7 linked regions of the Cricetulus griseus genome follow. The protein of the gene in region 1 interacts with the protein of each later gene in a pairwise test. Links are inferred from orthologs where the notes say so. Each region holds a gene or a part of one and is shown on either strand. Other genes may lie near its edges. The genes, in order: Prkab2, Grn, Rhebl1, Spry2, Tasor2, Psmd11 and Stx19.

The links.
Region 2: the proteins of Prkab2 (region 1) and Grn interact in binary tests that used the Homo sapiens proteins (3 or more experiments, as listed by UniProt). The link is inferred for Cricetulus griseus from reciprocal best matches to the Homo sapiens genes PRKAB2 and GRN.
Region 3: the proteins of Prkab2 (region 1) and Rhebl1 interact in binary tests that used the Homo sapiens proteins (3 or more experiments, as listed by UniProt). The link is inferred for Cricetulus griseus from reciprocal best matches to the Homo sapiens genes PRKAB2 and RHEBL1.
Region 4: the proteins of Prkab2 (region 1) and Spry2 interact in binary tests that used the Homo sapiens proteins (3 or more experiments, as listed by UniProt). The link is inferred for Cricetulus griseus from reciprocal best matches to the Homo sapiens genes PRKAB2 and SPRY2.
Region 5: the proteins of Prkab2 (region 1) and Tasor2 interact in binary tests that used the Homo sapiens proteins (3 or more experiments, as listed by UniProt). The link is inferred for Cricetulus griseus from reciprocal best matches to the Homo sapiens genes PRKAB2 and TASOR2.
Region 6: the proteins of Prkab2 (region 1) and Psmd11 interact in binary tests that used the Homo sapiens proteins (3 or more experiments, as listed by UniProt). The link is inferred for Cricetulus griseus from reciprocal best matches to the Homo sapiens genes PRKAB2 and PSMD11.
Region 7: the proteins of Prkab2 (region 1) and Stx19 interact in binary tests that used the Homo sapiens proteins (3 or more experiments, as listed by UniProt). The link is inferred for Cricetulus griseus from reciprocal best matches to the Homo sapiens genes PRKAB2 and STX19.

Annotation. Positions count from the first base shown.
Region 1 is NW_023276806.1:58,819,651-58,823,943, reverse strand, and holds the start of Prkab2 (5'-AMP-activated protein kinase subunit beta-2), read left to right. Parts: upstream 1-1,493; 5' UTR 1,494-1,646; intron 1,647-1,841; exon of another isoform or gene 1,842-1,864; 5' UTR 1,865-1,889; coding exon 1,890-2,042; intron 2,043-4,293. UniProt on the Homo sapiens protein: Non-catalytic subunit of AMP-activated protein kinase (AMPK), an energy sensor protein kinase that plays a key role in regulating cellular energy metabolism.
Region 2 is NC_048600.1:115,672,851-115,676,879, forward strand, and holds the start of Grn (progranulin), read right to left. Parts: upstream 2,801-4,029; 5' UTR 2,728-2,800; coding exon 2,696-2,727; intron 290-2,695; coding exon 145-289; intron 35-144; coding exon 1-34. UniProt on the Homo sapiens protein: Secreted protein that acts as a key regulator of lysosomal function and as a growth factor involved in inflammation, wound healing and cell proliferation. Regulates protein trafficking to lysosomes, and also the activity of lysosomal enzymes.
Region 3 is NC_048595.1:395,350,090-395,354,113, reverse strand, and holds the start of Rhebl1 (GTPase RhebL1), read left to right. Parts: upstream 1-1,224; 5' UTR 1,225-1,439; coding exon 1,440-1,491; intron 1,492-2,000; coding exon 2,001-2,138; intron 2,139-2,723; coding exon 2,724-2,791; intron 2,792-3,053; coding exon 3,054-3,136; intron 3,137-3,224; coding exon 3,225-3,281; intron 3,282-3,532; coding exon 3,533-3,580; coding exon of another isoform or gene 3,581-3,614; intron 3,615-4,024.
Region 4 is NW_023276807.1:257,384,644-257,388,821, reverse strand, and holds the start of Spry2 (protein sprouty homolog 2), read left to right. Parts: upstream 1-1,378; 5' UTR 1,379-1,801; intron 1,802-4,178.
Region 5 is NC_048596.1:228,642,776-228,646,275, reverse strand, and holds part of Tasor2 (protein TASOR 2), read left to right. Parts: intron 1-1,387; coding exon 1,388-1,569; intron 1,570-2,002; coding exon 2,003-2,117; coding exon of another isoform or gene 2,118-2,121; exon of another isoform or gene 2,122-2,279; coding exon 2,280-2,283; 3' UTR 2,284-3,500.
Region 6 is NC_048600.1:93,879,536-93,883,493, forward strand, and holds the start of Psmd11 (26S proteasome non-ATPase regulatory subunit 11), read left to right. Parts: upstream 1-1,158; 5' UTR 1,159-1,226; coding exon 1,227-1,317; intron 1,318-3,675; coding exon 3,676-3,777; intron 3,778-3,958.
Region 7 is NC_048597.1:30,361,549-30,364,264, forward strand, and holds Stx19 (syntaxin-19), read right to left. Parts: upstream 1,417-2,716; 5' UTR 1,409-1,416; coding exon 530-1,408; 3' UTR 501-529; downstream 1-500. UniProt on the Homo sapiens protein: Plays a role in endosomal trafficking of the epidermal growth factor receptor (EGFR).

The sequences.
Region 1 (4,293 bases):
GCTATTCTATGAGCGTCCTATACACAAGGATAAAGACATGAAGAAAAACTTAACAGAAGTTCTACATGGTATCTCCCCCCCCGCCCCGTATTGGGGAGGCTAAGAAGTGCATCTCTGTGGAAATGGGCATCTGATGGAGATGGATTAATGCCTCCTGCGGCGGGGATTCCCTTTCCTGGCATCTGATGGAGATGGAGATGGATTAATGCTTTTGAAAGAGGAAAGAAATGAGAGTTAGGAAGGCAGATCTCCAACCATCTCTGCCATCTCACTTTTCAGTTGCATGACTTAAACATTTTTTTTCAGTTTTATCTATAAATGGGTGTTTTGCCTGCATGTTTGCATGTGCATCAAAAGATGTCAGATCAGCCGGAACAGATGGTTATGAGCCATCATGTCAGGGCTGGGGACCAAACTTGGGTCTTCGGAAAGAACGAGTGCTCTTAACCACTCAACCATCTCTCCAGGCCCTTCTTTGATTTTCTTACTCTGATGACTTTATGGTCTACCTAGCCTCACCAACCTACACCCTTGATCTTGTCCAAGATACTGCCAGTGCTGATAACTCCAAGGCCTCTGAAATCTCAGTGGCAGGCATCCTACTCTCCAAAACCACTTACTTAATCATCTTCTCCGCTCACTCCGATACCCTCATGCCCATCAATCTTAGACTCCATTGGGCCCGCCATCAGCCTGCTTTGCCTTCACTTTCTAGTCTACTGGTTTCCAGTCGCTGGTCCAACGGTATATTCCCAGCCCACCATGCGCTCCCAACTCCTCTGTTGCCTCCTTGGCCAAACTTCATCTTGAGCTGAATGCATGCTCCCACACAGCTAATCACAGTAAGAGAAAACACCACTATGGTGAACTGGGCACCACATATAAGTAAGCCTTCTGCAGTACTTGCCAGGCACACTTCATGCGTCTAGTCAATTCTCTCTTCCACCCTTCATTTCATTGCTTCCTGGGACAATGAAAACGAGGTCGCTCGGTAGAGCTGTAAGCGGCATAATGAAAACCATTCGAATGTGGAACCGCTCCCTACCGCTGTCAAGCAGTTTGATGGGATCTTGTTAAAGTGCAGATTCTAATTCTGTACCCAGAGCAGGAGACCTCGGATTTGGCTTCTCTGACGAGTCCGTGTCCCATGGCTGGACGGATTACTTAGGAAGACATGACTCCGAAAGCGTATAGACTTCCATCCAGATACTAGCGCCCGCCACGCGAGAGCCTGGCCCCCAACCCGGACCCTGACCCCCCTCGCCCCGCCCGCCCCACCCGCGCCCCGCCCACCGCCGCCCCGCCCCCCCGCCGCCGCCCGCCGCGCCCGCCCCGCCCCAAACTGGAGGCAGGCACGCACGCATTCACCACAGAGACGGCGGCCGGCGACGGTGGCTAGAGCGGCAGGCGACTAGGACTGGGGAGGGGGCGGGGCTGGCACGCAGGGGGCGGGACAAAGAGGTTTTGTGGGCGGGGCCATGGACAGAGGCGGGTCCGCGCCGCGGGCCTTGTAGCCATTTTAGGAGGAAACCACCCGTGCCGCTGGCTTGGGGCGCGGCTTCAATTTCAATAACTTTATTGGTCTCTCTGTGCGCCCAACAGCCGGCGTGCGCGTGGCCCCGCGATCCCGGAGCGCATCGCCCGAGGTGAGCGGCGCGAGGGTGTGCGGCGCCGGGGCCGCGGGGTAGAGGTGACTCCCGGGCGGGTTCCCCAGCCGGAGGCGTCCCCGAAGTGGACCAGGGAGGGGACCCCGGGCGCGGCCTCCTGCGGCGGGGATTCCCTTTCCCGGGCGCAGGGGCGGGGCCGGGACGCCCCTGACGCGGCCGCGGGGGTGTTCCCAGCCCGGTGTCGTTCCCCGCGGCAGGTTGCCCCCGACTCGAGCTGCAGCCATGGGAAACACCACCAGCGAGCGGGTGTCCGGGGAGCGCCACGGTGCCAAGGCTGCGCGAGCCGAGGGCGGCGGCCATGGCCCGGGCAAGGAGCACAAGATCATGGTGGGGAGCACCGACGACCCCAGCGTCTTCAACCTGCCCGACTCCAAGGTGAGTCCACGGGGCTGCCGGCTGCTTCTCCCTTCTTGGTTCTTCCTCCTCACTCCCAAGGGTTACGGGTTCATTTTATTTTATGACTTTAGAGGGCTTTCCCGCGGACAGGGATGTTGAGTACGAATGCCTCCTAGGTGCTGCCTCAAATGAGGATAGAGGCGTGGAGTTGTTTTCCTGCCCTTCTGACTGATCTGCGGGCCATACTTTCAGGACCGGTACCAGAGACACGTCCCCTGCCCGCCCCATCCTTGGTTCTGCACCACATCTTGCCTTCTTGTGGTGGAGCTTGCAGGATGTATAGGTGGTGAGCGAGCTTGGAAACTTAAGAGGTTGCCTTGTTTGAGCTGCTGCTTCGGGCTCCGTTTCTCACATTGGCCTCGAGATATTTAAATGTATTTCTTTTCCCTGAAAATGCCTTTGTGTAGATATCACCTTTGCTCTCAGGGGCCCTGCGTCCCCTTTTTGATCCTCGTCCCCGTTTGCGTGACTCTCAGCAGTTATCACTTGGTTACTTGAATACTTTCGCCTAGTCTTGGTGATCAGAACAGTGCATCATTTGGATAATGGCTTCAGGTTTGTTTGGTTGGTTTTTTTTATAAACGTGGCGATTGTGACTGTGCTTTTTGCACACCTGGCTGTGCCTTGTGGGAGAGCAAGTTACTTCCCTTCACTCCACTATAGTGCTTCGAAATGTTCAAAATGTTGCCTGAGGCTCAAAACCACCCACAACTGCCCGAAGACTTTGCCACCAATGCCAGAGACTTCCAGCCAAAGGCCCATTTTTGTTCACCCAAAAGAAGAGGCAGATGGAGCCGACAGCAGTATGATTGCTACCCTAATGTTCCTAATCACTTTTAGAAATGTCAGCATTAAAAACATTTAATTTCTCAAGTAGGCTGTCAGGAGTGAAAAAGAAAAACCAGAGGGTTGGAGATGATTGGGATATACTTGGCGCCTGTCACTTTATCCCTTCCCACTGCACTGAGGCTTAGGATAGTGAATAGAGTTTTATTTACCTCTTTGACAGCATGTGGAATTTGGATTATATGGCTTGTTTTCTTGAGTCCTGATTGAGGACTCCGTTAGGGAAGTAAGAGATGTTGAGCTGTGCGTTTCTTGGGGTTCCCTCTTTGTCCCCACTTTAGGACTTCTTCCTCGTCGTTGGGGCTCTGTGCTCAGCCTGGATTTTGTTCTCCAAAGCTTACCCAGGGTGACAGGCCGTGTATTTTTGCTCATTCCTACATGGATGACTCAGGATTTGGGTACATTCAAACTGTGACTGCAGTAATTGGTGTCCTGAATAGGAGCCAGCTTGCTCTGTGTGAATTCAGGCCTGTTTTGGAACATTCTTTCCCTCACATCTTGCCGTTTGTGAAATGAGAAAAGTAGTTCCAACAACCCCCCCCCCAGTCTCATGAAGATTAAAAACTTTATAGTTCACATGTCCTCCCCCCACTGATTTTTTTTCCTTAATCATCTTCAGACTGTAATTTGAATTGCCGATTTGCTGCTGTTGCTGGTGGTTCAACTCCAGTAAACAGTCTTGCTGCGTTCCCTGCTACCACAGAAATGTCATGTCATAAGTGGAAGGGCTTTGCTCCAAAGCCAGGTGTATTAATAGTGTAGAGCTTTCAAATCCTGAACTGAAAATCCTCCGTCATAAAAGTAACTGATAGAGACAGTGGGGTGGGTGGGGGGCATCTTTGCTCTAAAGGTCAGGCTTTTTAGTAGACTCACTAGGGTTCTCCATCCCTTTTGAACATTAGGATCCCTAAGATTGTTTTTAAAACCTTATGGGAAATCTGACACATTTATAAACTAGAACAGTACAATGAACTGTGTGTATGTCACCCGGTTGAAATGGTGCTGAAAGGTCACGAATGAGTGGCTTTCTGTGCTCCAAGCCATTGTCCCACCCACTACTCTGAAACAGATGCCAACAAATAGTATTTCTAACATTTTAGGGTATACCTAAAAAGGTGATTGTTCTTTAAAGCTGATACAGTAGTGGCTCACTCCTGTAATTGCAGCTGTTCAGAGACTGAGGCAGGAGGGTCACTGCCAATCCGGAGTGAGAATTTGACCCCCCTAGGAAAAAACAAAACACGTTTTCCCTGTTTATTGTAATATAAGTACAGTATAATTATCTGATAGCTTTAAAAAAAATATGTTCTCAGGTTCTGTTTGGGAATTAGAATCTGAGGGTTGTTCTTAGGCATTGGTAAACATGCCTAATGCAGCCATCAAC
Region 2 (4,029 bases), on another chromosome or scaffold:
TTAGACGATCGCTCATTACCATAGGCAATGTGTCCTGGAAAGAAGCAATGACATATACCAGAGGATCTGTGCCAGACCTCTTCTGGCCAATCCAAGGTAACCCTTCAAAAGGCCAGGATGCCAGCTGGGGCGTGAGACACTCACCAGAATAGGGTTGCAGCAGCTGTAGCTGGCTCCTCCGGGGTCCAGGCAGCAGACAATAGGGCACGACTGACCATCTGGACACTGTGTTCCAGCCACCAGGCCTGCCATGAAGGCCAGCCAGCTTACCAGGGTCCACATGGTCTGCCTGCAAATGCCAAGGAAAGTTTGGCAGCCATCTTAAGCTTATGCCACCTTCTATTCTGAGTCCATGCAGTTCCCCATGCCCTGGCCAAGGCATGACATGCCTTGGATTTATTGAAACTTCTCAACAAGTGAGCAGGAAGGCAAGCAGCTGCCTGAGTCAGCATCCTACACTGTAAGCATCACACTTGCACCAGCTTGCACACACGGTGAGCACGAATGCTGGCATGAACACAAGTGTCCATCATGTCATCACACTTGGCCTAACACCTGACACTATAGGCGACTGGAGAGGCGCGGAGTTATGACAGTCAGGAAGCCATGTGGCTTTGATTTATGGGACTGTGGGCTAACTGGGAGGAGACTTCAGCGGCCACAAGAGGACAGCCAGCCTCACCTCGCTGCCTGGCACTGAACTCCCACATGTACTTTTCAAAGGCCTTGGGGAAACAGAGTTGTCAATCACATGATCATATGGGAAACCAGGGGTTGAGAAAGTTGTGAAAACGGAAGTGCAGTGGCCAGGGGAGTCTGGGCTGCCTTTCCCACAGGCCAGCCACTGCCTGCCCACAACTGTCCCCTCCCCACCCAGGGGAAGGGCACATGGTGGCTGGATTAGCCTTGAAGCTAATTTCATAACCAGCCCTCCTCAGCATCACCAGGACTCCTTTGGACTCCTCAAACATACCACCTGTTTCTCCCTACTCAGAAATCGAAACTCAGCTGCAAGAGCAAAGTTAAGTGTACTTCTTCACTGGCCCTCTGCCTTAGCAGGAGGAACCGAGTCTCTCACTTCCCTAATAAGTCTTTCCCCAGCACAGCTGGCCTACCCAGCAACCCAGAGTGACACTCCCCTGCCTGGGGCAGCAAAAACAGCAATATTCAAAGACCCTCCAGGGAGCCACTTTGCCCTTCCTTACTGTATTTCTCTGCACAACTATGCAAAGCAGTGATCAGATTACTTTCACTTTTCAAATCCATGCCCAGGTATCAAGTCAGAGAAAACAGACTGCAGATATTGGACCTGGATTCTTATGTCAACTGACATCCCTGAACATTGCCAGGGAATGGACCCCAAATCCCAGAGGCCAGAGGTCCAAGCAGAGGGAAGCGGGCAGAACATTTCCCAGGCAGGTGACCTACACAGGATAGAAATAGGGTGGGTACAGCCAGACGGTGGTGGCACACGCCTTTAATCCTAGCATCCAGAAGCAGAGGCAGGTGGATCTCTGTGAGTTCAAGGCCAGTCTGGTCTACATAGCAAGTTCCAGGACAGCCAGGGACAAAAAGATCCTGCTCAAAAACAAAAGCAAAACAAAAAAATCTACAAAAGAAAGGGTGGGTACAGGGACGGTGTAAAATCTGCCACTGATCAATTGCTGAGGGCCTCAGAAATTGTTTCCTGTGCCTCAAACTCTGAATACTGGTGGCCATGGAAGGCAAAATCCCAACATCCAGACCTCAAAGCTTCCGATAGGCATGACAAACATGCTTTTGATCCCTGCACTTGGGAGGCTAAGGTGGGAGGATTACAAATTCCAGGCTACAGGGTGACTATGAGGTCAGCCTGGGCTACATAGAGGATCTGTCCCTCATTGTGCCCCCTCCCCTTCCTTCTCTAGGTTTTCAAGCACCCTCTCAAAGAATATCCCAGAGGTCATCTCCTGGCCAGATTAGAATGGGGTAGGGGAGACCTAATCCCTTTCATTAGGGTTAGGGAGTGGTGACCTCTGGCCACCTCTACACCACTCTGTTGAAATAGCCTGAGAGGACTGGAGGAGCCTTTCAAGGCCCTAGCTTCGAGATCTTCCACTAGGTGGCACCCCCGACTCCGGAGTGTCAAGGGGAGATGAATTTCCCAAAAGGTGAGCCAATCCAGCAGAGGAGCAGGGAAAAGTGGCGGGGAGAGGCGGAAGTTAGCTCTCTCGCCCCCCATAAAGGAAGTACGGCTGACACAACCCAGGGATTCTGCCACCACGCCCAACTCCTGCTCCCAACTCCTCTGAGCTCTGGGACCAAGGGCGGGAGATCCCCACCCACTGCAAGTCGCCGCGAAGACTACTGGCGGCACCAGAATGAGAAAGTGCCGGGACCTGGAGACAAGAGGTGGGAGGCACCGAGAGAGATGAAGCTGGCCCAAGAGTGGGGCGCTTCCTGCTCTGGAGAAAGCCCTGCAGCTTTCCGACATGCTGGGCAGGGGAGCCTCTTGTTGGGGGTGTCTACAGCAACTGTTCCCACTCCTCCCAAATGACAAACCCTCGTTAGTGCATCTGAAACCCCGAGGGGAGTTTCAAGAGGCAGGACTTCTCTCGTCTCTGAGCTGAGGCTCCGGGGCAGCCTCAGTTGCACAGCAAGCCTGGCCAGGCCTCTGGACAGCAGCCAGGGAGATGTCTGCTGCGGGTCCTCCTACCTGCTTCGGGGTCCGCACTCCCTGGGAGGCATCTGGCTGTCAGCTCTCGGACTAGGGCTTGGCTGCCCGATGGCCCGCCCACCTCAGTTTCCATTAGCCCTGGGTCGGGAATCCGGGGCTTCCATTGGCTACTTGTCTACATAGAGGCGGGACTCTCCAGGAATGCTGTGTTTCTTTTCTACTCAATCCACACTCCTCCTCCCTTTCCTCTCTCTCCCCACACCCCATGTCTAGGAATCATGTGACCAGGCAATCATATGACACCATAGCCCGCCTCCCCCAGGGCCTCGCTTGCTTGTTCGGTTGCTTTCCTCCCACCCCCCAGGGCCCTGGCGGCGCCTGGCGAGGTGTTCTAGAGATGGGGCTTGCGTACCTAAGGCCACCGACAGTTAAGAAGGCGCCTGCGGGGCGCGCGTTCAAGGTCGTTTACAGCATAGCGTCGGCTTCTGGATCGGGACATTTGTACATTCACTGTTTTCACGCTAGGCAGCCAGGACTCCAAACAAGCTGAAAGATAGTTGGGAGGGTAAAGATAAACAGTCCCCAGATTTGGGTGGGATACTAAATCTAATAAATGTTCAAGGGCGAGTACCAGGCAGGAGATTGGCTGAAGGTAGGGGAAGAATAGATGTAAATCCACTTTGAGCTAGCCAGGAGATGGTATCACGCTGAACTGAATCTAGAGGAATTTTAAGGGGCTGGTTAGGCGGGACAGAGGCACTCCGGAAGAGGTTAGGAAAGCAGATGGGGAGTACAGTGTCTAGCAAGAGTTAAAAGCCACATTCAAAGTAAGGGCATTGGGCATGAGCTAAGTATGTGGCATGGGCTGGTGAAGCAGGCTGGTGGCTGTGGAGGTGCAAGAGGCCTCCTAGTTTCAGCTACCCCTACCTTCGAGGAATTGTCATGGTCCATGAATAGAGATTTTTAGCAGTAGAACAGATTAGCCAGAAACAAAAGCCAGGCTGCTGAGTGCCAAAGGGCCTGGGCCAGACAGAAATGGCTGATTGGAGACCTGCCAGGAAGAGGACAGGCCCCAGGAAAGCCCAAGGCTGGGCCTTGTAGGAAAGGCAGAGTTGGTGTGGAAGATAGGTCCCCTGGGAGGAGCAAAGAGCTTGACTGGTAGGCCACTCAGGGGAATGGGGACAGCCCTACGAATAAATCCAGGACAGTAAGAGTCTTGCATAGAGAGGAGCCTGGTGGGCTTCTTGGGCTAGAGCTACAGGAATCCCAGAAAGTGGAGGCCAACGTGGAGTATCTAGGGTAATTCTGCAATTCTGTAATTGCTTAACACAGCCCCAGTATCCTTGCAGCTCTCTGAGTCAGGGTCTCCTGTG
Region 3 (4,024 bases), on another chromosome or scaffold:
CTCATGCATGCCATTGTCACAACTCCAAATTCTATGAATAAATTTAAATGCCAGGGAAACAGAGACCTTGTATGTCATGCTTATCTCTTTCAGCAAACCTGGGTCAGTGTCTGAACATGCTCAATAGACTTTCTTTTTCTTTTTTTTAAGACAAGGTCTCTTGGGCTCAAACTCACTATGTAGCTGAGGCCATAATGAGTTTGAACTCCTGACCTTCCTGTCTTCACCTCTTAAATCCTGCAATTATAGGCCTAGGCCAGGAAGCCTGGGTTTTTTGTTTTTTGACAAGGTCTTGGGTGGCTTGATCATTGTTTAGCCCAGGCTGGTCTTGAACTGACAGCATTCTCCTGCCTCAACTCTCAAGTTCACAGATCAAAAAATATTTGTTGAGCCGTATGGTTGTGGCCCCAAACCTTTAATCCCAGCACTCTGGAGCTAGAGGCCAGTGGATCTCTGTGAGTTTGAAGCCAGCCTGGTCTACAAAGCAAGTTCCAGGACAGCCAGGGCTGTTACACAGAGAAACCCTATCTTGAAGAAAAGAAAAACAAAGGCCTAGAATCCTTCCCCCTTTTTTTTTTTCACCGCCCCAGACAAGGTTTCTTTGTTTACCTCTGGCTGTTCTGGAACTCACTCTGTAGACCAGGATAGCCTCAAGAGATGCGCCTGCCTCTGCCTCCTGAGTGCTGGGATTAAAAACTGCCATCACTGCTGACTTCAGAGGCCTAGCATCTTTTCAACAAAACCTCCGGCCCAAAGCTACTTTGTAGTGTTGCATGCTTTAATTCAGTATTAGGTAAGTAGAGGCAAGTGGACCTCTTTGAGTTTTGAGCCAGCATGGTCTACATAGAGAGTTGTAGTCCAGTCAGGGTTACAAGGTGAGACCTTGTCTTAAAAACACAAAACCAAAAACCAATACCAGCCAACCACAGCAGGTATTTTCCTTTTCGTTTTGTATTTTCACAACAGCTGTTTTTCCATCTAAGATTCACAGCTTTTTTGGCTAGGCTGCACATGGAAAAGTACCTCTAGGACCCCGAGCACCTTTTTCTTTATGAATGAACCGGCTCAGGTCTACGCATGTGCAGCTCCCAAAATTCCCGCTCCACGTGAGCCCACTGGTCCCTCCTTGTGGGCGACTCCGCCCGCCCTCATTCTAATTGACCAATGGGGAGCAGCCTGGGGGCGGGGCCGGGAGCCGCCCAGCCGCGTATTCCGCCCCTCCCCCGCCCCTGGCGCCCGGCTCCCTTGCGTAGAGCCGCAGTGTTGTGATCACGTGGGCTGCCCCGGGCGCGCGGCTTGTTTTGATTTCCTTTCCCTTCACCCGGCTTATCTTTGGTGAGCCGCGGTCCTTCCCGGGGTCCCCTGCCGCCTGCACTCCAGCTAGTGTTCGGGCTCTCTTGGTCCGCGCTCCTAGGAGCCCCTCGGAGCGGCGTCCTGTCATGCCTCTGGTGCGCTACAGGAAGGTGGCCATCCTGGGGTACCGCTCGGTAGGTGAGTCTCCGCCCTCCCGAGAGCACCAGCGGTGGCAGCACCGTTGCTTTGTGTCCAGAAGAGGCGCGCTGTCGCGGGAATGTGACTAGAGGAGCCAATGTGGACGGGGAAGAAGTCGTGTGGAGGGATGCTGGAAAAGGAGCACTCAAGGGTTAAAGTGGACCGGGCTGTGGTTGCATCAGTGGTCCCTGAGTTACTCTGGGAACAGGGGTGGGATCAGCATTTGAAGGCGTGGTGGAGGTCTGCGCGAGGCAGACACTTGCAAGTGTCCTTGGGCTGGTGCACTAGATCCTAGGGAGTCCTGGATCTTCCAAAGGGTGAGGTGGGGTGGGGTGGGGCAGGGAAAGGCTTCCTATGGCAGTGCTGAATGCATCCCAGGAGCCAAACTGCTGCGGAGTCAACGCGTAAGGATGTTCGTAGTAGTAGTCCAAGGGGAAGCATTGCTTGGAGCTGGGGGTCTTTCACTGAATGGGAAGCTGATTTGGGATGCGTTTTGGTCCTGGCCACAGTCCGAAAGGACAAACGGTGTGAATGTAGGTGGATGATTATATTACAACAATCTCTGGTCCTTAAAGGGAAGACATCTTTGGCCCATCAATTTGTGGAAGGCGAGTTCCTGGAAGGCTACGATCCTACAGTGGAGAATAGTGAGTAATGTTCTTTAGTGTGAAGGAGATGGAACCTAGATAGACTGGGTACCCTCTCCAATTACATAATTTGATATTTCTTTGTTACCAAGGGGCTGATTTATTTATGTGTTAATCATATCAGTTCTGGGAATCCTGTTCTGTGAGTGTCTAGGGCAGTGGTTCTCAGCCTTCCTAATGCTGTGACCCTTTAGCATTTAACTGCAGTTCCTCATGTTCCCCCACCATAAAATTATTTCATGGCTACTTCATAACTGTAATTTTGCTACTGTTATGAGTTGTAATGCAGGATATATGATATGCAGGATATATGATATTTGACCCTCCAAAAGGTTGTGAGCCACAGGTTGAGAACTGATGGTCTAGAGAGTAGAATTTGTAAGATTTTAGTCCAGGATAGTATAGAATCTTTACTATACTAAAGATGAGGACAGCAAGAACCCTAGCATAACTCTCCAGATCCTGGAAAGTTCCCTGGAACTAGTCTGTCTCTGTTACTCCCAGGGTCAGGAATGTAAAGGAATACACATCACTGGTCCTACAAAGCACCTCACAGTCAAGAAGTTTTCCTCTTTGTTTTTCCAGCTTACAGCAAGACAGTGACTCTTGGCAAAGATGAGTTTCATCTACATCTAGTGGACACAGCAGGGCAGGTACCAATTGGGGTAGGGTGTCCAAATGTTGCAGTTCCCCCTGTATAAAGTCTTGTGGTCTGTGTGTTTCATGTGTGATGTAGTATGAAAAGAAAAGTATTTTAGCTATTAACAGTGTACAAGGCTCATTGGAGCTACTTTATAAATACTTGTTGAATGGGAGCAAGGAATGTCTCTGAGAGGGTCACCTGTATGTTATCCCAACAGCTTGTGCCATTTGAATGGTGTGGCTCTTAATACTCATGTTTCTGTTTCTTGTCAGGATGAGTACAGCATTCTGCCCTATTCGTTCATCATTGGGGTCCATGGTTACGTGCTTGTATATTCTGTCACCTCTCTGCATAGGTGTGTGACTAAGATTTTGAGTGGGGCTTGGAGGACTCAACAATAATCCTAGAACTGAGATTAAAGCTCTATCTCTTATGTTTTGAAGCTTCCAAATCATTAAGAGCCTGTACCAAAAGCTACATGAAGGCCATGGTAAAACTCGGTAAGTGGCCCCAGGAAATAGAATGTGGGAATGAAGGTGTGGAGGAAAGCAATCATGGGGATTCTTCCAGGAGGCTGGCCATGGATCATGCCTGGCTTGTTTGGGGAATCATCTAGCCTTGCTGTAGTTAGACTAGTTGGGGTCCATAGAGATTGGGGAAAGGACTCTTTTTTTTTATTATTAATTTATTTTTTACATTCCAGGAAAAGGGTTCTTATAATCATACAATAGTAACTGCTGTTTCATCACAGGCTACCTGTGGTGCTTGTGGGGAACAAGGCAGATCTCTCTCCAGACAGGTGTGTAAACCCCTGTTGCTCATGGCAAAGGAAAGTAAGTTGTACTAGGGATCAGTCAAGCTGTAGTCCTGCCTGCCTCTGTTTGAGACAGGATCTTCACCATGTAGTCCAGGCTGTCCTTTTAAGTCCCTGTCCTCTTGCCTTTCTAGCAGTGCCAGCGGAGATTGTAGGGGTGGGTCACTATGTCTAGCCATTTTCCCTCTTTTCATCATTACCTTGATGGTTACTTAAGAATAACTCTAACATAAAGCCATAATTCCTATTTCAAGCTTCAGTCTTACATTTACCCATCATGCTTTTGTTTACATGTATTTTTTTCTCACCTCACCCTCATCAAACCTTGGGGGAGGGGTGTGAAGCATCAAGAGGAAATTAAATCTTAAAGAATTTTCAGACAAAAAAAAAAAAAAAAAAGAATTTTCAGACAGCTTGCAGGCATTGTTT
Region 4 (4,178 bases), on another chromosome or scaffold:
GAGGAACTTCTGTGAGAATGTTCTGGGTGACAAACAGTGGGACTTGAAAGATGACTCTCCTTTTATTTACGGTTTCGCGAAGGAGGGATTCAATTTGCAGGGGAACAGCGTGCGCCCCCCCCCCCATTTCGGAAGTCCATGATGTCGCCCTGAGTAATCGCGTGGGTATTACTGAATTAATTTAAAAAGCTTCTGAGTCGAGCAAAAACAATGCCCAAAAAAGTCTTCAAAAGGCCTCCATCTATAGATAATCCCTCTTAAAAATGAAATTCTAACAAACTACACGTCCACACAATCAAAAGCCAATCCCAGCCAGAGCAGAAGGGACTTGAAACCCGAATCTGCATTCCGTTCCTGCCGTACAAGGCTCGGAGGTGGGGGAGGCGGTTTGTGCTGGTGCCCGGTGTATAATCGGGTTAATCCAGTAGACAAAGAATAAACCAATAGCCCTCCCACCTCACTTCCCGCTCCCCTTTCCCTCCCTCTCCCGCTCCCCCCACCCTCTTCGCCCCCCTGGGCATTGGAGGGGGTGGGGCGGGCGAAGGAGGCGAAGAGGTAGATCCGAAATGGATTCCCGAATCGAATCTTTTAAAAAGCCGCAAGTGGCTTTTCACGCTCGCACCGTGCGGCCGGGTTAGTTTTTGCAACGTCCCCTCTGGTCTCCGGGCGGCGAGGGAGAAAGTTCCCTAAGTGAGCCTGGCCTCCGGCTGGTGCTCGTGGCCTCCGGGGGTGGGCGAGCGAGCGAGCGGGCGGGGCGGGGGGGGGGGGAGCCTTAAGGTCAGTGTTTCCTTGAAACTAGATAAACTGACCTCGCGGTGGCCGCAGCGGCCCCGCGTGACGGCGCCCGGGCTGCAGGAGCGACTGGGGACGCGCGGGGCGGCGCGGTTGCCCTTTTGAATGCCTCCTGCGGCTCGGAGCGCTGGCGGGCGCTGGAGTGTGAGTGAATGTAGCCCCGCCGAGCCAATGAGCTGGGACCGGATGCGATATATCCTCTGGGACAACAACTGCTCTGTTCCGCCTCGGATCCACATGACGCCATTTACTGCTGCCGCGGCCGCTGCAGAGCTCCCTGCCTCCTCCGGAAAGGCGAGGGCGCAGGCCAGCGGCTCGCCCCCCCAGGCCCCAGCCCCAGCCCCAGCCCGGCCCGGCCCCGGCCCCGGCCCGGCCGGGCCCAGACCCTCCTCCCCCACCATCTCCTCCCCTGCGCACCCCGCCCCCGCCTCGGCCTCGCCGCCGCGCCTCCGCAACGCCCAGTCTGCACGAGCCAGAGCTGCGCGCCGCAGTGCGAGCGGAGGGGGCCGGCGGAGCGCGCAGCGCCCAGGCCCCGCGCGCGCCCGCCCGGCCCGGCCCGCGGCCCCGCGCCAGCCTCCGCTCCGAAGCAGCCCCGGGCCCCCAGGACTGGGCGAGCTGGCCTTAGGTTCTTTGTAAGGCCGTGTTCGCCTCTCTTTCTCTCATCGGCCAGGAAAAAAGAGACTTCGCCAACCACGGCGCTTCGGCTTCTTGTTCATTGAGAAAAAAAAAAAAAAGAAAGAAAAAAAAGAGGAAATACTCCGTGCGCTTCTGGAAGGGAGGTCATCTCTCTCTCTCTCTCTAGCCCGGAATCCGAGAGGGTTCCAACGGTGGAGGATTGGGTTCCAAATTTTCCCCTGGTTGTTTTTCTCCTGCCACCGATTACTTGGAAGTTGGACTGAAGCAGAGTTCGGAAAGAAGGAAAAAGTTTGCATCGGGACTGGATTTACTTTGCACATCGCAGAAAGAAGAGAGTCCAAGGGAGAGGGGTTGGTGCAAAGCCGCGATCACGGTGAGGAGCGTTTGGCTTTTTCCCTGCTGGAACCACAGTCCGCCGCGAGTGGGGTACGGGTTCCTCTTTCCCCTAAACCCGTAGGCTTCCAGGGAGGATCGGGAGCTGCCCCGCGGATCTGCTTCGCCTAGGACAGGGGTTCAGTCACCGCCGGGCTGCAGGGTGCGCCGGTGCAGTGTCCCCACTCCGCGACACCGCGCTCCCTAAGGGCTTTGGGGAGGAGGACCGCTCCACTGCGTTCTGCTCCTACCCTGCTTTGGAGGCGGTTTAGTCGCCGAGATCCCTGCTTTTCCTGATCGCTGTTGCAGGCTCGTTTACGCTGCTAACCTGTTCCTCCTTTCGGTGGAAGGCCAAGTTCTGGGGAAGCCGATCCTGCGGCGGGGGGCGCCTGTGGGGCTGGGGTACTGGGCTTCTCATCTCACCACCGCACCGGAGCAGAAGACTCGGCGGACAAGCCGAGGGTAGGCTGCCAGGCGGAGGGAGTCCCCGCCTCTGCCCGGTGTGGACAGTCTAGCCCGGTGCGGGTGGGAGCGTCGCCCAGCCTGGCGCCGCGTCTCTGCGGTTCGGAAGTGCGGCTTTCTCTTTTTTCCGTTCTTCGTGGTCGGCCTGGGTCATGCTTTTTTTTTCTTTTTTCTTTTTCTTTTTTTGATGCTTGGGCTGACCTAGCACAGGAAGAGAGTTATTAAGTGGTCGCGATCGTTTTCCATTACCTGAAAGTAGGTGGCAAAAAAAACTAGTTTCCCCCCTCCCTCTTTTGTGTTACTGTTTTTGAGATTTGGAGTCTTAACGCCTTTTTTACAAAGGGGTTTCTGTGTCGGTTTGCCCCACCCTAGTGCTGAAGTCCTTTCCCCCTAATCCTTAGTCTGATCACACACTGTTCTTAATGGGGGTTTCAAAGCACTCAGAGGGGGAGGGAGAGGAACTGCGAGAGCGCAGGGGGTGGAGGCGGCCCGCGAAGGAGGCCGCCAGGGATCGGCAGAAATCACTTTTTTTTTTTTTCTTCCAAAAGATGCTACTTTTCACGGGCAGTCTTCACGGGAAGTTCCCGATCTCAGGGGTCGGAGGCCTGCACGCCTGGCGTGTCCAGTGGGGCTCTAGATAAAGCTTTTTCTTTTTTTTTTTTTTCGTTTTAAGAAATAAATCTTTTTTCTTGGTCTAAAAGGAGGTAGGCGTGTGCAGATTGCAGGCGGTGCTCTCTTCGGTCATTGCACGCTGGCTGGAGTCTCTCTGGGAGCGTGGGTACATAGACTTCTGTGCAAGCTGTGCGTCCCGACCCGGCTCTCTTCCTCGGGGCGTCGGATTTGGGAACTTGTGGGGACAAGCGTTTTGAGGGCCTTCGCAGAAACACCTTGTGGTGACCTTGCTGCGGGGGTGGGCGTGTTGGAGTGGCACCCCCTCTTGGGGCTGGGTGGCAGTTCTCTTGGGTTGGGGGAAATTTTAGCTGAGGGGGTGCGGAGGAGGGGGAAGTGTGCTCGTGCATTTCACGACACGTCCCCTTCGGAGGCGCCCGCGCCCCCTGCCTGCCTGAGCTTCAGGGGATTGCTCGCAGGAGGGGCCGGGCTGGCCCTAGACAGCGTCAGTCCGCCTGGAGGAGAAAAGTCCCCGGGGTTCTGGCTGAGTCCCACCTGCTGCGGACTGTGTGGGGGCGCAGATAGAGCCGATAAACCCAGTGAAAGCAAAGAACAGCCTTGTGTACCTTGCTGTTGGAGGTGAGCAGATCCGGTTTCCAGCTCTGTCTAGTTCTGAATTAGGAGGCGTTTGTCACCTGCCTTGTTCGCTGCCCTTTTCCAAAAAGCCAAGGTTGGATTAAAAGTCCGCTTTTGCTTATTTTCTTTGGTATTTTTATGAGGGCCTGGGAGAGGGGTGGTACTTTTTAAACCGAAGAATGACTGTAATTTAAGCGATCCCTTGACGAAATGATAGGTTTCAACCGTGACACTTAGGATTTTTAAAACCTTTCCTATTGCTGTTACTTGCTTTTGTGTTTCTGGGTATTTTTCAAAACGAGAAGATAACATCATTTTTGCATGCTTTATTAAACAGGGAGAATGACTTGGGATTGAGGATATAAGGCTAGACTCATAGGTCTGTGGAATATTTAATTCTCGAGTAGTGGAAAATACGTTTTGGTCTTACGAGTTTGTTTTCACGTGATAGCTGATGGGAATCGAAATGACTTCAATTCTGTAACTTTGTACCACTGTACTTACTTAAAAATGCAGCCTTAATTGTTCTCAGAATGTACTTTTATATCATATGGGACTGGCAAAAGATACTGATTACACAACTCTCGGTGCTGACTTAAACCGAAGCTGTTGTAGGCATTTGTTGGTGTTTAGTGTAAAAAGGATCCTGACAAATTTAAACCTGTTACAAA
Region 5 (3,500 bases), on another chromosome or scaffold:
GGTTAGCTTTGGGTTTTTTTGTTTTTGTTTTTTTTTTTAATAGTAGGGCATTCGGTGAAAGATGTATTTACAGCAACATTTTGAGCCAGGCTTAAAAACATCCACAGTTAAGTCAGGCTCTGCTGCCATATGCAGAAATATGGTAAAGTGTGAGCTTCCCTTTTTTGATACTCATATTTTGAGTTGCCAGGGTATTGGATTTAAATAGCAGACAAGTCACCTTAAATCTAAAGCAGTGATTGTTTTAATTCATTAATTTTTTTGCAGCCCAGTCAGTTTCCCTTCCCTCCTCTCCTCCCATTTCCTCCCCTCTCAACATTCTCCCCCTCCTTTTTCTTCAGAAAAGTGCAGGCCTCCCATGTATATCAACCAGCCATGCATATTAAGTTAAAGCAGTGATTCGTGTATGTGGAATATGTATGTATTTATGCAGTTTGCACACTTGTGTGGAGGAGCCTGGCAATCTATGTCAAGTGTCTTCTATCACTGTCCACCTTATTTTTTTTTTTTTAAGATTTTATTTATTTATTATGTGTACAATATCTGCACACCAGAAGAGGGCACCAGATCTCATAACGGATGGTTGAGAGCCACCATGTGATTGCTGGGAATTGAACTCAGGACCCTTGGAAGAGCAGTTGGTGCTCTTAACCTCTGAGCCATCTCTCCAGCCCCCCAGCTTATTTTTTAAGAGAAGGTCTCACTGAATCTGGAACTCATCAATTGGACTAGGCCAGTTGGTTGGCCAGTGAGCTTGTCCTCATCCCCAGTGCTGGCCTTACAGATGTGTGCCACCACACCTGGCTTTTTATATAGATGCTGGGGGTCTAAACTAAAGTCCTCATGCTTACCCAGCAGGTACTTTACTGACTGTACCACGTCCACAGCAGTGGAATTTTTTGTTGTTGTTGCTTGCTCATTTATTTATTTATTTACTTATTTATTTATTTATTTATTTATTTATTTATTTTTGGGTTTTTCAAGACAGGGTTTCTCTGTGTTGCTTTGGAAGTTGTCCTGGAACTCGCTCTGTAGACCAGGCTATTCTCGAACTTACAGAGATCCGCCTGCCTCTGCCTCCTGAGTGCTGGAATTAAAGGCGTGCACCACCACTGCCCAGCTTGACCAAGTGTTTTAACAACAAATTAAAATGAAAGTCAAGAGAGCTAGAGAGATGGCTTGGTACTTAAGAGATGACCCAAGTTCAGTTCCCAGCACCTATATTAGGTGGCTTACAATTGCCTCTATAGATCCAGGGGATCAGACACCCTCTTCTGGACTCTTAGGGCACCTGCACTAACATGCACTTTCTTTCACATAGATAATTTAAAATCTTTCTTTTTAATGAAAGCAAGAAAAGCTACTAACATTTCTTTCTATTTTCCAGGGTAGATTCAATTGCACATAAAAAGAACTTAATTCTGAAATCATATCAGAGTGTAAATATCATTGAATTGCTTCATTATCACAACTGTGACTCTCCATCACCAACAAAAGCTGAAAATTTGAAATGCTTGCTAAACCTGCAAGTTCAACATATCAGTGCCAGGTTTGCTGTCTTCCTAACAGGTAAATTTAATCTTCATTAATGCTAAAATAGGACAGCTCTAGAAATACCGTTCTTAAGTAGTTACTGAATTCCTTAGATATATGTGGCTTTTATCCATAGCTGGTAGGTAGTGCAGCATGTGTTTTGACAGTCCTGAGGATGCTTGCCAAGGAGTAATGAGTTTCTCTAGTTAATAGTCTTCTAATTAATATTACCAGATCCTACAAGTACATTTTTCTACTTTTCCCAAATTTTCTGTGAGCCTTAGCTGGGCTGCCTGGTTACTGAAGCTAGTACTGTTGTCCATTACTGTCCCTTCCCTCCCTCATGCTGCTTCCATGTGTCTTAGTTTTTCTTCTCATTCTAATGAATTCTGCTACCTTGGAAAAAAAAAAAAAAATGGGAAATGCTAGCTAACTGACAAGTTTGTTTTTTTTTCTTTTTTCTTCATAGACAAGCCTACAGTATCCACAGAAGTCTTTGAAAATAATGGAATTCTTGTTACAAATGTAAACTACTTCACTGAAAATATACAAAAGATAGCAGCTCCATTTAGGAGTAGCTATTGGTAAGAACATTTTGTAAAACTCCCGTGTAAGCTGGAATTACTGGCAGCAGACACTACCACCGAGGGAAAGAAAACTGTTCAAAGACTACTCTTTAGATTCAAATGGAATACACTTTGGTTATATTTCTTGGTTATTTCTGTCTTAATTTTGTGTTCCTACAGGTAATTAAGCTACATTTGGAGTTGAAACTAGAAATGGAGGACACCAACAATATATTAGTATTTTCCTGTGTCTGAAAAACTTCAGATACACACAATCAATCCTTATCTAAAAAATCCATGTTTCATTTTCATACTTTGTTAGAATGTCATATTTCATCATGGACCATAGATGCCAATAGCTCTGGGTTCCAATGTTTATTTTACTTCTAAACATAATGCCTTCAAAACCATTAAGCTTACTATTAAAATTGAGACCGTCACATGTTTATGTAGCTGAAGTAAAAGTATTTTAACAAATAGCTGTTTCTGTGTGTGGTCAGAGGCTTATGAAGTGCATGTTTCGGGGTTTTACAGCATTGTAAAAAAGTATAATCTGTAGTGGTTTTGTTTGTTGTTGCATAAGAAACACTACAAAGAAACATTTTTCCGTAAATGACAAATTTATACACTTTTCCACTTACTAGGGTTTTTTTTTTTTATGCTGCACTACAAAAATCAACCTGGGGAAGAAATTATTTATGATAATTAGAACTTTCTTAAGTCTTTAAAAATACATACACTCAAAAAAACATTTGTATACTGTCTATTTGGAACAAAGGCTTTTATACCTAGTTTGGGGTTGGGTTTTTTTTTTTTAATAAAGACAATTAAAATGCAGTTGTTTGTGCTGTGATTCAGTCTGTGTGCAAAGCCACTCACCAGGATGCTTTTAATAAGAATCCCACTACAATGAGCCTTGTAACTATAGTAAAATGTATAAAGCCAGAAATGGCTCCCATCCAAATCTATTAGGTTAGCTCTCCTGAAGGCAGTACGGCAGTTGTGTTGTCTTCACAAGCAGAACATGGGCAGACAATATAGAGGACAGTGCTTTCCAGAGTTTGGCTTTATTTTGCAGTACAGAAATCATTTGGAGCCATTTTGAGACAGACATCATTGAAATCAAGGCTCTGTCAAATCAATACTGCATTGCAGCTTGGTCCATTGAAGAAGCCATACCTGGGATAAAAGGTGCTTCTATAATTTCTACCTGCTTACCATATGGTTCCTTTCCCCTTCTCAGCAATTGTAATAGGTTAAAATACCAATACTGGCTTCCTCCAAACAACTCCCTAAGTCTAAAATTTGGCTAGAAGTTTACACCCACATAAACAAAATATGTGGCTGCTATTTGAGCCCTGCTTTAATACTTGACATAACAAAATAGAGAAAACTTTGAAT
Region 6 (3,958 bases), on another chromosome or scaffold:
TAATGCAGTCACAGAGGAGTGCAATGTTGGTTCTATTTTTCCTTCCTTTTTCCTTCTTCCTTCTTTCTTCCTCCCTCCCTCCCTCCCTTCCTTCCTCCCTCCCTCCACCCTCCCTCCTTCCCTCCCTCCTTCCTTCCTTTCTTCTTGGTTTTTCAAGACAGGGTTTCTCTGTGTAGCTTTGCAGCCTATCCTGGCACTCGCTCTGGAGACCAGGTTGGCCTCCAACTCTCAGAGATTTACCTGCCTCTGCCTCCTGGAGTGCTGGGGTTAAAGGTGTGCACTGCCCGCCCAGCTACAGTTTCTTTTATATTATAGCACAGCTATTTCATGTCTGGATTGTCATCACCTAAAATGTCTCTCTATGTATTGTTTTAGCAACATTCTTAGGTTAAACCTTGGTGGTCACATAAAGTGTTCCCCCCCAATCTCCCCCCGGCCCCTTTCCTTGTAATCCTCATAGATATTTGGTTACAGTAGAAGGAATTAGAGATATGGGAGGAAACAATTGTTCTATTGTTGATCTGGGAAGCTGGGGTGAGTCATCTGTGTGAAGAATCTCAAGAACTATTTAGGTTGAAAGAATGGGTCAAGGAGATTTTCACTTCATTAATGTGAAGCTCTGTCGAAGATGCAGTGGTTATTTGGGAAAGGTGGTGGACTGTGGCACTGGTGATTTTGCTAGCACTTGGAAGGGTGTGTGTGTGTGTGTGTGTGTGTGTGTGTGTGTGTGTGTGTGCGTGTGTGTGTGTGCGCGCGCGTGTCCTTTCTGCAAGACATATGAGTGGATCCAAACGGGTGTGTGTGTGTGTGTGCATGTGTCCTTTCTGCAAGACATATGAGTGGATCCAAACGGTCCTATTTCCTGCCATACAACATACAATTTGGAAGGTATTCTTTCTCTTTGAATGACTAGTCTAACGTGGATACTATAAAGATAGCCAAGTAGTTTCTCTTTAACACCTAGTCTCTTTTGGGGAGGTGGGGGACTAAGTTCGGTCTTGTCTCGTCAGAGCTGGCCGCAAGATGGTGTCGGAGAGCTCGCATGCCACTGGCGGGAAGCTCTTGATTCACCCGCCCTGTAGACAGAGAGAGAGACAGACTACAACTCCCGGGGTGCTCTGGGAAGGGAGGCGGAGTCCCCGGGGGGAGGAACGCGAGGGCGGGCCTTCCGGGTGTGTGTTTCCGGCGTCGGCGGCCGCGGCCGGGGACGGTGTGAGAGCGGTAAGATGGCGGCCGCAGCGGTGGTGGAGTTCCAGAGAGCCCAGTCTCTACTCAGCACCGACCGGGAGGCCTCCATCGACATCCTCCACTCCATCGGTAAAGGTTCTCGCGCCCTCCCCGCGGCCCCGCCGTCCCGGCGCCGCCTGTGTGGGTCGGAGGCGGCGGAGAGGGGCCGGGCTAGCCGGCTGTGGTGCTGCTGACTCACTGTGTGTGAGGGGGGCCGGGCCGGGGGCGCAGGCCGCTCGGGGCCCCCGGGAGCCCCGTGGCTTCCAGGCGGGCGGGAAGCCCCGAGCCAGCCCGCGCATCCACCTGCTGGCTGCTGACTCACGGTGGGCGCAGGGCAGCGTGGAGAGAGGGCCGGGCCGGGTTCGCTACCCCTCAGGGTCCCGGGTGGTGGCCCGCGCGAGCTGGCCCGCGGCTGGGAGCCACTGCTGGTTACAGACCGGTCCCAGAGTGTGCTCTTGAGAGGCCCGGGCGACAGCCGCCCAGGACGGGCATTTCCCGCCGTTGTTATCAGCACAGGTTGCTCCGGGTGGGAGCGCGAGCGCTTCTCTTGGAGTTTTCTTCCACGGGACGCTGCGAGCTGCTGCTTACCCCCAGCCCTCCGCAGCCGGCTCCAGCAAAAAGAGGGCCACTTCTGGGTGTGGGAAGTTGAGGGCATGTGCTGGAGGTGGCCAGGACAGTCCTCTGTCCGGTGTAGCCTGTGAGGAGGCGAAGTGTCGGGGTGGGACCGCCGGGACACAGGAGGTGACTAATTCTCCCCAGTAGGGTTGAAGTTTGAGTTCAGAGTTAGTTGTCTGTTGTTCAGTGAACTCTTTGCATCCGGCCGGCTGCACGTTGTTGGAGGAAAAAAAAAAAAAAAGAAAACTTTTAACATCATAGTGTGATTGTCTTAAACCTAAGAGCAACAGTAAAGTTAAAATAGGAGCCCTCGGCCGGTCTCTTTCTTCTGGGATTCAGGTGTGAAGAGAAATAAATGGATAATGGCAGAAAAGGCTTTTAAATATTCAGTCCTCAAGGGTTCAGTTAGGGCATGAGCTGCTTCTTGTGATAATGTGGTCTTTTAAATGTAGCCTGGCAAAATTCGGATGGGATCAACAAGTAGTTAGTGACTGCAGGTGTGTGAAGGACTTCCAGGGTGTCGGTTGATTTGCTCAGCCTGTTGAGTTTCAGTTGTGAAGACTTGCATAGAGAAAGGACAGTGACAAGGGCTTGTGTCTTTATCTTTTGGGGTGCTAGAAAAGGAGAGGAGATGGTGATCACACGCATTTTGAAGGGATAATGCTGATCAAGGGCATTTCCAACTTCTGATCCTAAGTGAGTTTTCGAAAAGGGTACCCAAGCCATCCGATTGCTGTTACATAGGTATTTTTCTGTGAATACACGTTAATATTTAGAACTAATCTGAGGAGCATGAGGTTTAATTTTTTTGTACCCAGTGCTTGATTTGTTTGCCTTTCCGAAAGTAGAGATTGCTGATAAACATTACCATTAGAGCTTTTTTGTTTTGTTTTGTTTTGTTTTTTTGTTGCTCACTACACTAAAGGACAGTCCCCTGCAAGCTTCCCTGTTAGAGCAAGCTTGAGTCATGATGGGTGACAGCCTTACTTTTTCTAGATTCCATCATGAAGTATCAAAACCTTGGTTTTGTCAAGTCATGATTTGTAAGTTTGTTAAGACCAGTGGTAACTAGTGATGATCACCAAAATAAGCAGTACAAACTTTGGAGAGGTTCTTTGAGGTTCAGATGGTTGAATAATTATTAACAGTTGAAAGTGGGACAGACAGAAAGTGACTTTAACAGGACCTGGTCCATTATGAGCAGCAGTCTCTCCTAAGTGTAGCTAGCTGTTCAGCATCACACCGGAGCTTTGATAGGGATTTGTCTAGAGTGGCTTTATAGAATTGTTTATTCCTAATACATCCGTTAGCTGAAGCTTTCTATAGACTTAAAAGTTTATAGAAAGACTTGGTTTATAGTCATCAATAACTTTATAATTTGATTTTAGTTTGTGATAGGTAAATGCACAGGCTTTTTTTTTTTTTTTTAGTGTCTTCATATAACATACTGTCTAGCATGGGGCTCATCACCATAATTGGGAAGGACTTTATCTATCTATCTATCTATCTATCTATCTATCTATCTATCTATCTATCTATTTATTTTTGCTTTAGTTTTTACTTTTTGTTTTTTGAGACAGGGTTTCTCTGTAGCTATGGAGGCTGTCCTGGCACTCAGTCTGTAGACCATGCTGGCCTTGAACTCACAGAGATCCACCTGTCTCTGCCTCCTGAATGCTGGGATTAAAGGCATGCGCCACCACCACCCAACTGTTTGGTAGTTTTATTTGGGAAATAGGCAAGAGTTCATAATGAGTTATCTTGTAAGGGTGAATTTTCCCCTTGCTTCATTTTTTTAAATCACAATTTTAAGAGTTCATTTTCTTTTCTCAGTGAAACGTGACATTCAAGAAAATGATGAGGAGGCAGTCCAGGTCAAAGAGCAGAGCATCCTTGAACTGGGGTCTCTCCTGGCGAAGACTGGACAAGCTGCTGGTAAGTCTTGCAAATGATTGTACCTATGATGCTTTTGTCTGAAGCACCAGATGGAGTTTCTCTTAGAACACTGGACTGCACCTAACACCCAGTTCATTTGTGGTATTATTCAGTTTTATTTTCCTGACAATTTGTTGTTATTTAATTTTGTAACAGAAAAGTGTAGAATTGTATTCTACAG
Region 7 (2,716 bases), on another chromosome or scaffold:
CACCTTAGGTCTCAAGCTTTACTGTCACCAGTTAGATTCTTCATCAAGTTTGCAATTGAGTTTTCCCAGATCCTAGTTATCACCAGGTTTACTTACCAACCAAGGATAAAGACTTAATAGGCCTTTTAGCTTCATTTTGGTGCACTGTGCATTTTGGTGCATTTTGGGACCTTGTTTTATCCAACTCTCAATTACCAAAATATTCTCAAATGAGCCAGATTAATAAAGTAACTATCACTTAGTTGAATATTCATCACAAGAATACAGAAATGCACAGGAGAACTCAATATTTTTCCAGAAACATAAGGTCTTTCACTGTCACTTTTAATAGTTAACCTGTACATCTTAGGTAAATGCTTGTCTTGTGTCACCGGCTTCAGCATTTCTGTAACATTAGTGGGTAAATGTTAAAGGGAAAAGTGACCGGTTAGCAGTGTTAAGATGTATGTAACTGGACTCGTGAAATGAAGACAACCCAAACAAGATTCTGCAATGTGGAAACCTCACCCCTAAACCCTGAGCAGTTTCTTTATTTGGAACCACAGCATGGACAGCAACAGCACAGGACCCTGCAGGGGTTTCTTCTTTTGTATTTTACAGCGAGTCCAAATTTCTCTTTGGTATTGATGACATAATCTTTTGTGCTGGTCACCATTACCTCAATGTTGTTGAGGCTTTCTCCTTGCTCCTCTACCAGAAGAGAGATCTGAATGAAGAGGTCCCGGAGGTCCTTCACTTGGGTCTCCAGATTCACAAGCTCTTTGTGTCTTTGTTCAATCTCCGAGAGCTGTGCTTTCGTGATGCTGGTCTCCGTGAGTAAGCTTTCGTTGAAAACTTCCCATTTCCCATGATGAAGCATGTCATTCACTTCCTCTTCAGACACTTCCTTTCCAGCCACTTCAAGCTGGCGGACAATGAATGTCTTGCATTTCTCCTGCTTTGAAGCGATTGTGTCGTTGTAGAGAAACATAGTTTGCTGAAAGTGGTGGAACATTGCGGCATACTGAGACTTCAGTATCCTTGTGACCACTGATGACGGACCATTTTCAACCTCTGACTTTTTTACTTCTTTAACCAAATCACCCAGTGCTCTGTGAATCTGTTCTGCTTGGATTTTTATCTCCTTTGCAATGGTCGAGTCTCGTTTAAGTAGGCTAAACCTTCTCATGGAAGCCACCAGGCTCTTCTGTTGCTGTCCAAACTTTTGAACATCATCAGCAAAGCTGTTAATAGTCTCCTGCAGTTTTTGGATCTCATGTAGGTGTCTCTCAGCTACAGGCTCTCTCTCATAAATAACAGCTTGCTGGACAAGCACACCTTGGTCGTCTGCTTCTGCAAACACCTGACTGTCCCGAGAGAGTTCGATTTCCTTGGTTTTCTGTTTTAATTCTTGAAGTCGGTCTTTCATCTTCCCTTCCCTCCTAAGAAGCAAAAATAATGAAATGGAACAAAGGACAAAGTTGCCATTTTTCTCCATTAGCTATGTGTCTCTTAGCAAAAATTCTAGTTTTCTAACAGAAATTTTAAAAATTGAGGAATATGAACAAGGCACGATGGCTCTTGCCTATAATCCCTGCAGGGAGACTAAGGCAAGAAAGAGTCTGGCAAATTCGATGCTATCCTAGGCTACATGTGGAATTTGAGGCCAACCTGAACTACATAGTAATAACTAAAAAAGAAAAGAAGGAGAATAAAAAATAATTTCCTCATAGATATTATCAAAATAGAGAAAGTAATACAAGAAAATTTAGGAATTACTTTGAATGGTTGCTCCTGCCACATATCTCATTTATTTGAGTATAGTCACTGAGAAGGCAATGGGGAAGGTATAGTTGCCTACAAGTAAGTTCATCCATGCCATTATACTGTCCACAGTACGACTTTCCATTACAAAAGCTTTGACTGTACTTTGACTTTTAGGATTGGCTTTTAGCTTCCTAAAAATATCATTATTAAAGATGCCTTTCCCATTGAGTTTAGTCTATGCCCTGTTTAAAATAGACATTTTTCTGGTACTGGAGAGATGGTTCAGCAGTTGAGAGCACATGCTGCTTTTGCAAAAGTCCAGGGCTCCTTTCCCAGCACACACGTGGCAGTGCAACAACCATATGTAATTCCAGTTTCAGGAGATCTGATGCCCTTTTCTCATTCCTGTGGGGACCAGGTATGTATGTGATACACATACATACATTCAGGCAAACACTCTTCCACATAAAAATATACACATATATAATCATTTTTCTGAATATGCATAATTCAATTAAAACTCACATAATGACAGAATAAATTCTATGTGGATTTTAAGCAATATATAATGAGCTTTTTGAATTGGCATATTTTATATAGCCTTGTTTTCTTAGCTATTGCATATATGAAAATTATTGAGTTGATTATGCTGACTTCTCATTCTTGACAGTTATTTCCAAGGATCTTGGCTCCTAGGGCAAAATGTATAGAAATTCATATCATGATAATCTTTAGATACTTGAGAACATGATTATATATAACCTTAACTGAGAATACTGATATTTTCATTTTCACCTAGTGCTCCTAATTGTCCATAGCATCAAATCAAATTGAAATAAGTTACATATGATTATATATAATGATAAGGCAGTGACACACACATACATACAGTGAAATAAGTAAAAGCTATTATTTTTAATAAACCACTATTTTCTTAATCCTTGAGTATAGAAAGGCACTTAATCCCTTT